Oreochromis niloticus: one gene and its partner. The protein of the gene in region 2 interacts with the protein of the main gene of each other region in a pairwise test. Links are inferred from orthologs where the notes say so. Each region holds a gene or a part of one and is shown on either strand. Other genes may lie near its edges.

Evidence for each region.
Region 1: the proteins of cstpp1 (region 2) and ras-related protein Rab-7L1 interact in a two-hybrid assay, tested with the Homo sapiens proteins (2 studies listed by BioGRID and IntAct). The two-hybrid records come from large-scale screens. The link is inferred for Oreochromis niloticus from reciprocal best matches to the Homo sapiens genes CSTPP1 and RAB29.

What each region holds. Positions count from the first base shown.
Region 1 is NC_031984.2:592,935-600,723, reverse strand, and holds the start of ras-related protein Rab-7L1, read right to left. Parts: upstream 3,223-7,789; 5' UTR 3,149-3,222; coding exon 3,119-3,148; intron 1-3,118. UniProt on the Homo sapiens protein: The small GTPases Rab are key regulators in vesicle trafficking. Essential for maintaining the integrity of the endosome-trans-Golgi network structure.
Region 2 is NC_031972.2:38,744,950-38,752,698, reverse strand, and holds the start of cstpp1 (centriolar satellite-associated tubulin polyglutamylase complex regulator 1), read right to left. Parts: upstream 3,213-7,749; 5' UTR 3,028-3,212; coding exon 2,985-3,027; intron 2,909-2,984; coding exon 2,806-2,908; intron 1,416-2,805; coding exon 1,285-1,415; intron 21-1,284; coding exon 1-20. UniProt on the Homo sapiens protein: Regulator of the tubulin polyglutamylase complex (TPGC) that controls cytoskeletal organization, nuclear shape, and cilium disassembly by balancing microtubule and actin assembly.

The DNA of each region.
Region 1 (7,789 bases), on a different chromosome or scaffold from region 2:
TATCATTAAAAGCTTATACTGACTATTGCTATGTGATTTAGTACTATTACTGGAGGTCCGCGGCTCCGAACCGTAGTAAAGGGACCTCTGGCTAATACGTCGGACTCGTAGCCTAAAACTAGCTTTACTTTGTTGTCTGGGTCACTTTGCTAGCGAGAGACAGAGAGAGGCGTTGAAAGGCTGCTCCAACGGAACTTATTGTTTCGGAGGAAAACACGAACACAGTGTACAGTCGAGTCTTAATAGCTTACTTACAGCTGGGCTCGTCAGGCACTCTTCTTGGCTGCTGTGGTTATTATTATATTTACATGCTTCCAGCTCTCGTTTTTGCTCCGTGACAGCTCGGACTTTTCCTTTCTCTCCCTCCCTCGCTCACAGACACATAACGTGTATGGCAGTCCATTCTCCCTGCAGCACGGACTACACTGCCCATGATGCTACATTCTTTAGGGCTATGCCTGTAGCATTCTGCCTATTAGCTTAGCACAACAACAACAACAAAAAGCGCTCTCTCACCCAGGAAACACACAGTCGCAGAGAGAGCGCGTCACCCTGTAACCATGGCAACTGCAACGCTGCCGCCTGGAACAACAGAACGTAGCTGTCAAACAAAACCCAAACAGTCGTGTAATCCATTTATTTCAACAAAGTAACTGTATTCTAAATACCACCTTTTTAAACAGTAACTGTAACGGAATACAGTTACTCATATTTTGTATTTTAAATACATAACGGCGGTACATGTATTCCGTTACTCCCCAACACTGTGTGCGATACCACTGATTTCCTTTCCGATCCAATTCCAAGTAAAATTCAGGGTGGTATCAACGATGCTGATCCGATACCAATACTTTGTTCAAAAGCTTAATGTGTTATTTTATTTCAAATTATAGCTTCATAATGATTACAGGACATCAGACTACTTGGTCTTATTGTTTAGTTATGAAGAATTATCACATAGAAATAAAAAAACCTGAGGTTAATTGACGCTACTTGAACACGTATATATCTTCCCTGGACATTTCAACAACAACATTCAACATTCAACATTCACACTCATTCACAGTCGTGCTCCTCCACACTGCAAAGGCAATCAGGCAGCTAATTGGGGAGAGGGTAGTGTGCCATGACTTATGAGATGAAATCTCTGAACACATTTTAATCACCACTATAGCACTGTGATTGTTGCTTTCCACAATAATTAGTTAACACAACAAAACACACCCTTCAGCTTGTCGTGTGTTTTGAAACTGGGTTTTTGGAGACCTGGTATGTCAGTGTTTCTGTCTGTAAAGCACACAAAAAGGTTCGGACATTTTTCATAGTGCACGTTTGAGGTTTATTTTTTCCAAAGGAATAATTGACACAGTTCAGGGGGCTACATGTTGAACTTGAAAGATAAAAGCAAAGTATCAATCCAATCGTGCTAGTATCGATGCGATACCAATACTAGTGTTGGTATCGATACTATCGATATTTGGATCGATCCGCCCACCTCTAGCATGAAGCCTGCCGTCCAGGTGAGAGTTGGCCTGCTGCTCACCTGATCTCTGAGGACTTCATGGTGTCAGTTCAGGTCTTATCCGGTTGTTCAGTGATGACGTGACGAATCCTACTTCCGGGCCTAAAGTAGTCTGCGTTTAATATGGCTTTTGTGTTGTTAACATGTTTAATGTTTTGTATTTTCTTCTATTTAATCTCAAAAAGCTCCTAAAAACAGTCAGTGATCACTGTTGACCTCCCTCGGCTTTTATTACTGCTAATCATTTATTTAAGCTCAGTTTTTAAAACCTTACGATGTAACTACAGCACAGCCCATGCAGCAGTATATGAATAACTAACCTCGTATTGTGGATGGATTATCTCACTTGTTCTCCTGGCTGAAGTTTAGTCCTTTTACAGCATCCTGCCATGCTATTACATTTGTTCCTGACCACTGAGAACACTCACGTTAACTTTTATCGAGTGGAAAAAAAGTTAGCTTGTTTATATTATGCTAACATAGCTGTGTCGCTAGCGGTCACGTAGCACATCATTATATAGCAGCTAGCCAAACTTCAGTAACCCTACAAACGTCACTGCTGTTTAGTTTTCTGTCTTCATTTATGTTGGAAGTGATAGCAGAGCTGTACGTTTGAATTTTTTTCCAAAACCCCGCAGTCAGGACATGCTATATTGTATTTAGATGGAAGCTAGCGAGCTAACTTCCTGCTAACTTCTAACGCCGTTAAATGTCATAAATTCCATTTTCATGGATGCCTGGATGTTAAACTCAATTGTTACACCTGGTAGAGCAGAACACTGATCATTTTATTAAAGATGAAAGACTTTAGACAGTTTTTCAACTCTCAGTAATGCCACAGTGATCGTTTGATATATGGACCTGCAGCGGAGTTTAGGCCCAGACACGGCCAGTGACGTCAGACTGAACAACCGGATTGATGAAAGCCTCATTTTGAATTTTGGTATCAATCGATACAGAGCCGATACTTTTAACCTTTTAAAGGCAGATTATGCAGGAGAGAGCAGGGGGTCACGATTTATGAGATGAATCATCATCTGTAAATTATTAACACATTTTAATGACCCCTGTGAATTAAGACAATAAAACACACCCTTCATCTTTTATTTTGAAATGTGCCTGTGTCAAAGGCTCAGCTTCTGTAGTTTAAATGTGCTTCAGGCTATACATCAAAACACTTCATATTTATATAACACAGTTCGGTGGGGTAATTTCTGCACTCATAGGTTACCAAAAAGCTTCAGGGGCTTTACTACCGCCCTCTGGACGGGAGTGCAGCTAACACTGAAAAATAATTTAACCCAGAAAAACAGAGTCCGAGTCAGTCTGCGCTGCAGAGACGGTGTTTTCCTGTAAGCTAAACGTGACACATCCTCAGTGAGGACGTGACGCTCACTCTAAGGCCTTTACTCCAAGAAAATTCCAGAATAAAAGCTGGAAATGAGCTCACTGAATTAGCGTTAAATGTGTACCATCTGACACCAGCGGCACTAACCAGACCGGCTATACCTGATAAAATAAGAGCTCCCGGGGAGGCTCAGCTCAGCGGGAGCTTTGAAGAGCGTGTTCAGGATAATGAGAACAGGCGTTATTTACCTGCTGGGAGTTTCTGCACTGAGAGTCCATCCAAATGTCAAACAGTCTATTATCTGCAGCTCATCACACCTCCTCCTCCTCCTCACAGCTCCTTTCGCACCTTCTTTTCTTCTTCTTTCTCCCCACCCTGTGCAGCAGACGCTCGTCAGCGTCCCGCCCACACACAGGCTTCCAGTAACCATAAAGTAACGATGGGGCAGATATCGATTCGTTGTGTCTGTTTTTATGGATTTTTATTGCAGATTTGAAAAGCTCCAAAGTGCCATCCACATAATGGTGCACTTTACCTGCAGTGAGATAATTAGAACAAAATGTCCTTTAAAACCATTCTGACATCATCCTGCTTTCCAGAGGAGCCACAGCGTTTACCCGCTCACACATGCAGCTCCTCTGCTGTCCCGGTCACAGGTAACAGGATTATTGAGCACATGCACACCTGTCCTGAATGTGAGCATGTCACGTTTTTTGCCCTGTGAACCACATTCAGAGTCACTCTGAGGGATGCATGTGGATGAGCTTCGGTCCTCAGATCATCAAGCTCCTTACGCATCACCAGGTGGACAACCGTTATTGGAGGATGTGGTCCAGATTTAGAGCGATGGCAGAAAAACTCAATAAACCAGAGAAGGGCAGAAGCCTGACAGCTACGAAACTTCAGAACAGAATGAGAAAAATTAGCCTTCCACACTGACACTCACCTGTGTGTGTTCAGTCTTCAGAAAACTGCCTGAAGAGAATCGCTGCTGTGCCTCACACAGTGCACAGCCAATCAGAGTGCTGGATCACAGGGCTTGCCTGAATGTTGGGGTTGTTGGGAATCCTCAGGTGCTTTACTATATAAAGCACCTGAGGTAACTACTGTTGTGATCTGGGCCATTATAAATAAAATGGAAAGAAATCAAATAAATGGAACAGACTCGTCTTTGTTGTTCTGACATTCTCTGAGGGTGAGTAAAAGGTTTGATTGTTTTTATCCTGCCGGCCTTTAAGGTTTGGATTTCAGTCTGTAGCCCTGCACCTATGAAGCTTCAGCAGAAACAGACCTGGCCCGTCACTAAATGATTACAAACTAATATCCAGCCAGAGACAGAACCTGGGACAGATAACAGACAGCTAAACAAATGAATCTCCTTGTTTTATCTCTTGCACCCTCATTACTGTCTGGGTTTCTATCCAGCAGCACACTGACCTGTCGCTGCCCTGAGTCTTTGTAGTGCCTAATGATGGCGTTACATGCTGTTACAGCAGGTGATTAAAAACATCATCCATTAAAAACTGAGCAGAAGACAAAGAGAAAGATGAAATTACAGGAGAAAAAGTGATGAAACAAACACTTCAGAGCCTGCCTGAGGTGGCGTCCACTTCACCGCTCAGCACAGCAGCATGTTCTGGTTCAGTCATTAACGCTCACAGTCAGAGAGCAGTCCTTTCAACGTCACAGCTTTGGGGAAATTAAAGAGAAAAATACATTTCATGTTGTTCCAAAGCTCATCCATCCTCCCACAGCCTGTACTTGTTATTCCGTCTTCAGGAGCTTGAACACGATGATGGAAAAGAAGCATGAAAGATCTGATTGCACAGTAAACATTAGAAACAGGAGCAGGTTTTGCCTGTGATCCTGGGAGCTGTGGTATCCCTGGTTGGGTCTCTTAATCAGACCCATAGGCGGGGCCAGACGGAGGGCCAATCAGGACAACTTCAGTGACCTCACCTGAAGAGGGAAATCAGTGCCACCTCATGGAGTCAGACCTAGTATCTGTGGCTCGGCCCAAATGGATAACTGAAGCACTGGGGTGGCTGGGTGATGTGACCCCCTGCAGACTGCCTTGTGGGATACAGCACTGGTTGGGAGGAACTGGGACCAGTGAGACTGTGTTCCATACTGGGCCTGGGCTCATGTCTGAGCTGGACTCTTTCCTTTGCCAGACTGACTCATGGTCAGAAGTGCTGGATTGCTGTGGGGATGCTCACATGCCCCCGGCTGAGCGCCATTGTCCTGTCACAACCACACCACCCTGATTGGTTTACAGTAGTCAATCCTTTAGTGGGATCCTGGAAAAGCTTCTCCGGGGAAACTTTGCTTTTGTTTGGGTGACGCCTGGAGAGGAGGGATTGAACGTGCCTGATCTGAACCACAGAGGTGTTTTATGATTGGACTCCTGCGTAGATCTGGGTCATCCAGAACAAACACACTATTCTAGCCTCATAAGTGCACTCGATACCACAGCACAGCACGACAATGAGTGACGTTGTTCGTGAATCGTGTGATCTGTAGCCTTACTTCCTCTACAGCAGGCTGATGAACCAGCCAGAGCTGTCCCCTGATCACCACCCAGTGGTAAGGACGTCAGTCTCTGTTTGTTTCTGAATAGAGCTCCTGCTCCTCCACAGGACGTGATCAGGATGCTTCCTGTTTCCTTGGGAGGATTTTTAAGCATGCCCAGCTGGGAGGAGCCCCTACTTGTGGCCTGGGAGTGGCTCAGGACACCCCAGGAAAAACTGGAAAACGATGCCACCACGACTGACTACAGACCTGTGAAAGAGGATGGATGGACCTGTGAGTACACCCTGGAGACAATACTGACATTAAACAAGAGCTCTGATCATGAAGGTCTCTCCAGTAGTCTCATTAAAGGTCCCAGCAGCTTTTGTTCACCTTCCACAAAGAAGAGAAATGTTAGTGTTGGAAAGATGGCGTAAAAAGTCTTCATCAACAAGTTCAACCTGAAGGTGATTACAGAGTCTACATCTGATGACAGTAAGAAATGTGGATTCTCTGGAGTAATGTGAGTCCCGATAATTCTGATCATGTGATACGAGCCTGTGAAAGTCAGTCAGCCAGCTCACTTGTGTGGATCCAGGCTGTTTAACACCACTGCAAAACCACTGAAAACATTCATCCTGCAGAACATGCATGTGTAATTATAAACAGATCACGTCCTGCCTACATTAAACCAGAAACACACCAAACAAACACGCGTGACCATCTGAGACAGGACGTTACCGAGTTTAGAAACACCAAAAATCCACAGTGAACCTTCCCCTGCATCCAAAACAGATCGCACGTTATTTTATATACATGAGTTATAAATGAGAGAGATGGAGCAGAACCTGAGCTGAGTGACTCACACTGACACAATGATCCTGTGGTACTTAAGCTTTAAAGTTCAGCATTTTTAATAATGTATGAAAATGTAACAAGGACACGCTGAAAGCCCAAAGTTGGATAAAAGCTCCAATTAAGGAGTAATTAGCATTAATGCAGTGCAACAGGAATACGAGAAGGCAACAGTGACGTTAATGGAGGCTGAGAGTGGGAGGGCAGGGACACATAAAGCTGTTTGCTGCCGGCACAGCTTCACATTCAAGGCTTTTGGCACCACAAACGATGTTATCCATCCACAGGTCTGTGCAGACCTTTAACTCTGCTGAGGGTTCAACAACAGTCGTTCTTTTATAGGACATTTAGCCTAACAAGAAAACAATCACAATAATCAGCTGTATGTGTAGTCGTACTCGGCCAGCTGTGCTGCGGGGCAAGCCGTGCCCTCTGAGTGTGCACGTGGCCAACAACACACGAGAACGGCAACTTCATTTTCATCCAGTTTTAGTCGTGAGGCCATTCATTCACTGGTTTACTGGCATACATACTTCTGCATAGCTGCACAGTGGGCTCACACGTTATTATTGCAATGAATTTTCAGAGATGTAGAGATCACAACATCTTACAGGGATTTAATCTACCCTGAGTGGCCACACTGATTTTACCTAACAGAAACCAGAGGGCGGGGCTCCTTTGAACACTTCTCATTTCTCATTGTGTGGTTTTCTTTTTCTGCTGTTCACATTACCAACCTGAACTGCCTTATCAGCACGTATATGTAAACTGCACATGCGTCCTCCTTCCTCCTCTTACAATAAGAATAAGAATAAGAATAAGAACAACTTTATTTATCCCGAGGGAAATTCTTTTGTCACGTACATGCTCAAAGCAGCAGGAGAGACAGAGAAACAGATGAAATAGATATAAGATATACAATATATACAATAAGAATAGTGTACAGTAATATACAGTAGGATAGAGTTATCCAATACTATGTCTTGCACTAACAAAGTAATATATATAACTATATCCTGGTGAATAAATAACTTAACTATCAGTGCAGGCGGTTCTAGAAAGTGACAAAGTATTGTGCAATAGAATAAAGGGAGTAGCAGCATATGATGGGGGGATGAAAACAAATATTCAATAAGTACTCTTGGGTAATATTGCACGGTCTGGGAGGGAACAGAATAACATAGGTAATAGTCTCAGGAAGCTAAAAGCAAACCTGCCATCTACCCGAGGTTTCAGTTCTGGTACCGGTTAAAAGATTAATCCAATTTATTTACGAAGATGAACGTCCTTTTAAGCGACACACTTCCTGTCCCGTTTGATTGATTGATTGATATACCTTTATTAGTCCCACAAGGGGAAATTTCATAAGGCTGCCGACCTATTGCACGCAATGGCGGCGCCATCTTACCCTCCGACCATACATACATTACACAAACATCACATGGGGAAGACAGGTCAGAGAGGTATAACAATGGAAAATGCACCACATGAGGAAAGATAAGGCGAAAAAAATAACTCCCCCCAGACTGAGCTCCAACAGGGAGATTAGTTTG
Region 2 (7,749 bases):
TTCCAGCATGGAGAGCAAGTCTGGAACACAAGACACAAAACATATGTTGGCTACAAATTACACAATGACTAACCATCAGTTTTAAACAGAAAACTCATGACAGCACAAAACTGTAACACATAAAACTGTCAGTGACAACTAAAACAATAATGTAACACTTATAACATGAACATAGTTTTATTTTTTTATTAATTACAAATACAGTCACATCAAAAACTTTGTCTCTTTGATCTGCAAGGATTTGTAAATTCACTGATTTTGAAAAAGCATGTTGTTTTAAGTCACTACAACCACATCAAGAAGAAACATACAGCATCACACAGATTTAACTCCTCCGGTGTCTATTTAATGTCTATATCTACATTTGCCAGCTTCCTAAGTATCCCATAATAAACTTTAGATCTAGTCAGTGTGTCCTGCTGGGATGTTTCAAGAGTACAGGGCTATTTGGTCCCTGTACAACTGTATTCACACTTATTTCTAGTGGGTGATAGAATCTCCCAAGGCTGCTTTGACTGATTTTGTCCATGATTTTTATGGACAGAGTTTTAAGGTCAACAGGTCCAACCAAAGGTTGTAGTGTGTCAGGGTTGGTAGTCTCAGAATCTCATGTCCGCTTTTTACAAGTGATGCTCACTCAGTTGTCTTCATTATGGCTCAGGTGGTAGAGCAGGTCACCTAATAACCGCAAGTTGGTGGTTCGATCCCAGTCTGCCCTAGTCTGCATGCCAAATATCGTTGTACAAGATGTTAGTCCCATATTATTCTCTGGTGGGAGCGCATGTGAATGTTAGACAAAAAGCACTTAGAACCAGCATAGAGAAAAAGTGCTTGTGTGAATGGATGAATGAAACAAGTTGTGTAAAGCACTTTGACTGAGACAGAGTACAAGGGCGCTATATAAGAATCAGTCCATTTACCATTAAGAGATACCCTCCAGCTCGGAGGATTCCAGAGTTTGGTTCGAAGCTAAGTGTTAAGTGTCTTGAATGAGAATTAGGACCACAAACTGTGAGGCCAGAGTTCTCAATCTTAACCCAGAGTGCACATTCTGGGTTAAGAAAAAGTTGCTGTCCCAAGTGGTGAGGTCTTAGTATCTCAGGAGAGTGACAGATGGATAGGTCTGTCATCAGCAGTAGCACAGTAGCAATAACATCCTGAGAGTGAATCCAGGCTGGGATATTTCTGTCTGTAGTTTCCATGTTCTTTACTATGACTACATGGGCTCTCCCTGGGGGTACTCCAGCTTCATTTCACACTCCAGAGACGTTATTGTGTTCTCACCTCCACTTTTGCCAATCTGTCTGTAGCATTTCCAGAATACTCGAATGAAGGATGCTCTGTTATGTGGAGTGGCCTGGATGTAGTTAAACTCTCTGAAGAGGACGTGGTTGCTGTTCTTTACACTGCTGAAACTACAGAGACATTACAAACCCAGATATATTATATATTTCACACACACACACACACACACACACAAATTTACTCGATTTCTCTCTGTGATTAATAAAGTCTCTCTGACTCTGATATGTCTATATAAATAACTTTCTCTCGGGACAAGGAAGGGAAGCTGCGCTTGCCTTATCAAAGCTCCCCACCTGCCACCTTGTGACCACAGGGAGTTAGAATTGCTGCAGCTCTCTCTGGTTTGAGGGCGTGTCCATCTCCTGGCCAGCAGCTTTTTTTTCTGGTTGTTTTGTGCATGTGCACTGTGGATAAATTGCTAGTCTTTAACGGTAAACTGATGGGAGACCAGTGTGAGAAACAAGCTGCCGTTGGCTCGGCTTTCACTGCTCTGACACCAGTAATAAACTGTGCTTTGTATGGAAACACGGGCACCATTACCCTGTAAATTAGCTTCAGTCAGATTCAACATAACGGATGAGTTTCTTCTTGGTAACCACCTTGGCCAACATGTGTAATGTAGAGAATATGGTGTGAGAAAAAGTTTTTATTAACTTCTTTAGTACTGTGACAATAATCAAGATGGGATAGTAGCTCAGACCATGTCTGCTCTAATAAAACAGGCGAGTTAACCAGGCATAGACTCAGCAGCGTTTTCAGATTAACATCTATAAGATTTCCCGAATGTAGATTTTTTTCATTAATATGTTTAATTCCCCAATAGATGTATGCACAAGCTTTTCAATTCAACTGTTTTTATTATTAATGTATTTTAATACACTTTAAAAAAAATCATGATGAAGGACTGTGAAACTGAGCTCTTAAACAACAATTTCTTTTTTAGAGATTAGATTTTTCAGAGATATGCGATGCTCACACAACAGCCACACATATGATGAATATGATTAATATGATACTGTACATTAGGGCTGCAGCTATCGATGATTTCGGTAATTGAATAATGTATCGATTATTCCATCCATTAATCAAGTAATCAGATAAGTTACTTATTCCGATCTCCGTGTTCCAGATGTTCAATCTACAGATTCACCATTTTCACAGACTTTTCCTGTCTGTGTGTCACTGTGGAATGCAGGATTAAAGACCTGAGGGGGGGGGGCTCCATCTCCAGCTCGTGCAAATGCATGTAAGTATCAATATGATCTTCAGACAACAATGAAATGAAGATAGTATTGATACGTATAGCTTGTGCATTTGCGCGAGTTGGAGATGATAATCCTTTTAAACCGTATGACACACCATTCCTTGAACATGACGAAGTAACAACAAGAACACGGTGAGTCGAATAAGTAAACAAATCTAACTAGTTAACGTAAGAACCTGTTAACCTGAAGCACCGGAGCTGCAGTCTCACTGTTTCAACAACTGTGTGGAACCTACTATTCAGCGAAGTAGCGAATCACTCCGAACTGGTTGTATTCCTCTTTGTGTTCTAGCAGCTGGATCACAGCATCATTCAGGTAGAACAGCACATTGCTGTCCGCTGGAACACAGACACACACACAGATTATAAAGTTAGCCTAGGCGCTAACTGACACAGCTAACAACACACGACCTACCGAGATACTGGTCAGCGGGAACCGTGGGGTTCAAACGGTTCATTCTGCTCTTCCCAGAGAAACCCACTGAGACGAGACTTAATAAATACGCAGCTATAATCGGTGAACAGTGCAGCTATTTACTGTACGTACACTGTGTTCTTATTACTCGGAATTATGTTAGCTAGCTGTCGTGAGCTGGTGGACTTCCATGGAAACCGCCGGATGTTGTGAGTTACATTAATCAGAGCCCCTCGAACAATACTACTTACAAAGATTCCCCTTTGAAAGCAAATGTTTTACAGAGCTTTCAGAATAAAAACTGAGAAAAATTGGAACTTGTATTTTGAATTTACAGTTACAGAAAAATATTCACAAATGTGTAGATTGATATTCTCACAAATAGAATAAAATAGAATAGATCTTTATTGTCACTGTTACAAGAACAATGAAACACAGTTTGGCATCTCTCTCTCTCTCTGTGTGTGTGTGTGTGTGTGTGTGTGTGTGTGTGGATAGATAGATAGATAGATAGATAGATAAAATGAATAAGTGAGTGATCAGAGCAGTATAAGGTGCAATGTGGTCAGTGGTATTGCGCATTAAGTAAGGAATAGGAATGCTGGTTGCTACTATAATAAATACAGTTATATAAATAGAGAATGTTGGTTGCATTATAGTATAATAAATATGGTTCATAAATACAGTGTAAATGTCCATGGATTTTAACAGCACAGTTAACCTTCAATCAGGGTGAGGGTAGGGCATGTTTGACAGCCTTGATCTTGACATTGAGTCTGTTTGTCTTTGACCTGATCGACCTGTAGCGTTTACAGTAAGGAAGGAGAAAAAAAAGTGAGTGTCCAGGGTGCAAGGGGTCCTTGATGATGATACTGGCTTTCCACTGAAGTCTGCTGGTATAAATGTCTCTGAGGGGGGTTAGCGAAGTGCCAATTGCCTGCTCTGCCGCCCTCACCACCTGCTGCAGTTTTCTCTTGTCCTCCACAGTACAGCAGTTGAACCAGAGTGTGCAGCAATAGGTCAGAAGACTCTCGGTGGTGGAGCGGTAGAAGTAAATTAGAAGTCTGGAGTAATTGCATCTGCTACAGCTTCCTGAGAAAGTACAGCCTTTGTTGTGCTTTTCCTACCTGCTGGGAAATGTTTTTAGACCAGGTAAGGTTTTTACCGAGATGTGGACCCTGAGGAACTTGAAGCTGCATCAATGTAGAGGGCGGAGTGCTCAGATCGCCTTGTTCTCCTGAAGTCAATTACCATCTCCTTAGTCTTGGCTGTGTTCAGATGTAGGTTGTTGTTGTCACACCATCGCTTCAGATGCTGAACCACCTCTCTGTAGGCTGAATCACTCTATGTAATCACCCAATCAGTCCTATGTAGGTGGTGTCATCAGCAAATACACTGTGAGCTGCAAACTTCTCATTTAAATTTTACTTAAAGTAATTAATTAATTAATTTTTGTACTGCTTACAACCACATCTCCGTGATTACAACCTCTTAAATCAGTGAATACAAGCACTCGACTGTTCCCTCTCAAGTCAGATCATTATTCTGCAATTTTGCAACACTTCTTGGGAGAAAAGCATTTCAAAACTTGCACTTGTAACTGAAGGGGGATAAAAAGGGGTGTTGGTGGTGGTGGAGGGAAGGTATGGGGGGGCGGGTAACGGCAGTAGAGGTCAGCCAATCAGAAGGCCTCTGTCCTCTTTTCACCATGTTGGATTCGCAACTACAAAGCACTGAGCCTGGTTTCCTTCAAAACTTTGTTTAGTACATTAGCACTGTGGTTGATTAGGAAATTAACACAGACACAGCAGTCCCCCATTCCTCATTAGGAGCAGCAGCAAAAACCAGAGTGAATGATCATTTTAGCTAACGGCACTAGTTAACTAGCTACCCAGCGTACACTGATCAGTAATACACTGTTATAACAGTTCTAATCCTTTTTAACAGACCTGAATGTTGCAGCTGCATAACACACTGTTGATGACGACTGTGATCTGTTATCTTTGTACCAGAATAAAGAGGGAACCCAGAGTATGAGCAAGTCCAGTGTCTCAGTGCCATCCTTTCTGCAAAGGCTTATGAAGTCACATCCACCACAGATTCTCAGGACCACAACAGCTATACCAGCAGTATCTTCTCACTCAGTTTATCCCACTGTTGGCAGTAAAAGAGGACTTAGTTCATCTCTGAGCCCTCACTCTGAACCACAGCACTTTTCGCAGGGACATCAGTACATCACACTTTAAATCACACTAAACTAGTCTTCCTCAGTACTTTCATGCTGACTTACCCATATTTATTATGCTAAAAGGAAGCAGTACCAAGTTCATACCAACACTTACAAGTTTACAAGTTCATAATAAATCCCTGAACTCAACAGATAAAGCTGCCTCTGCTGTCCTTTTTTTGTTCTTTTGATTGATTGGTCATTTTGTTTTGGTTAGTCTGTCCAGCAGTAAAGGCCGTTATGAATGATTGAGAATGAGTCTTGTAAGGGCGGACTAATCTCTTTCTTGTTTTTTCGTTTATTTGTTTGTGCCACTTCCCTTAAAGAACCCAGGTTGTAGGTCATACATAGCGCTGATTCCCAGCTAGGCTGTTTGCAGTGCGTGCCCACAAGTAAATTGATTGCGATTTCTCTAAAACTGGGTGTGACAGTTTTCAGTGTAGTGCTATTTGCCTGCACCTTTGGTTTGATAGGTCTCATGTGCAGCTGGGATATTACTAGAATTTATTTCTTTGGCATTTCATTCGACACCTTAGTGCTTGGTTATATAAATGTTTAAAGTAGATCATCTTTAGTTATTTCGATTCAGAAACAACACAGAATTATAAGTCAAATGTCTCCTATGTGTGTTGTCCGTTATCCGTGGCTGTACTATCCATGGAAAAAGACAAACTCTCTATACTTAAATGTTTCATAAACATTCTTTAAGATACTAAAATTCAACTCAAATTAGAGAGGCTGGGATTTGGTCACTTCGTACAGCCAACAACAATATTAGAGCACTTTTCAGCCCAAATTGATTTTGGGGCAGTCAGTTTTGTCTTATCAAGCCACTCATACCTGGAATACAATACCCTCAGAAATAAAGAATATATAACATTCTTTATTTCTTTTTCTAAATTTGTGAAATAGTGATTATTGGATAATCAAACATGTTGTCATGACATAATGCCCTTGAAAGTCCGATTCTAATGTTTTGGGGGATTTTTTGTAAGTGATCATAGTGTTTGATCTTTAATAATGGTATAAGGACATGTGTTTATGTCACAAGTGTTTCTGTATTTTACTTATGTTCACACGCTTCAAAATGTTTGGTTTGTTGATTTATTTAATATGCCATTAACCTGCCAGGGTTTATGAAAATGAGTCTGTGGGTAAATCTGGCATATTTACATGATGAATTTAAGTGCTCACGTTAATTAATAAGTGTTATCCCTTTTAAATAAACACAAACATTTACAAATTGTATTGATGATCACAGCCATCACTAAAAAATTAAACTGTGCATGGCCCTTGGTGTGCTATGTCCAGCTGATATTGAAATGTGTGTACTCATGTAATTAAAACATATGAACAAATGAAAAGAAATTATCTCTACTCTTATTGTTGTCAACAACAGCAACAACCCACAATGAACGGGTCTTGACAAGGTAGGGATCCCCGACACAGTTAGGTTCCCCTGTGTCGGGAGCATGCGCTGGCCTGTCCAAATCACGGACAAACAGTATCCGTCATTCTTGATTTTTAGTTTGCAAACATTTCTTATAATGACTTGTTACTACTGAAATTTTGGAGGTTTTAGCTTTTTATACAATCAAATTACAGGAGGATACATATTACCAGGCATAATGTCGTCGGTTTGTTGAAATAATCCCGTCCGATAATATGTGAGAACAACAAATGTATCATTTCTGTTGTAACCCACAAACTGAACGGTAATTTAACGACACCCATCTTTTACTTTCTCACTAAACTAAAACGTCACGACTTCCACGTCTGTTTAGTTTGAATGGAGGCGGAGTCAACTGGATCCGGTTTCCCTGCCCAGCGCGTCCTCCAGATGCAGGGGAAACTAATTCCTTCAGATATACCTACCTTTACCTACCTTGACACGACACAATCATTTTATGGTGGCCATCAAATTCTGCACTGAGCTTTGGAGAGAGTTTTATATATCCTTTATTTACCCGGATTAAAAGTGTCGTTGACATTAAAAATGTGTCTTTCGAGAGGGCCAAGAGGGCAGCAGAAATTGTAACAAACATAACATAACAGTTCTATAAACTTACTTAAAGTGACCAAAACGCACTGCATTGATGACAATATGGGTACAAATACGCAGAGTCATAAAGATACTTCAACAACAGGCTATTTCTTTCTTCTATATATAACCCAATCATAAATCATGTTCACTACTGTCTATGTACTAATATGAGTAAAAATATTCGACCGTAAAAGACACATAAAAACATCGGAAATCGGTTTTTGGTATATCTCCAAAAGTTGAATCTGTTCATCTGGACGTAGCGTTTTGTGGGAGAAACGTTTCTCCCACAAAACGCTACGTCCAGATGAACAGATTCAACTTTTGGAGATTTACTTTCCTGGATGATTGAGAATGCATCAAGAGGTTTTTGGTATAACATCGCTCATCCCAAACTGCACATAACTAAAGTTTAAAGGGCGTGCACGAAACAAACAAGTAGTGTTTACATAGACAATAGTAGTTTTGAGATAGACTTAATTTCAGAGTAGCCA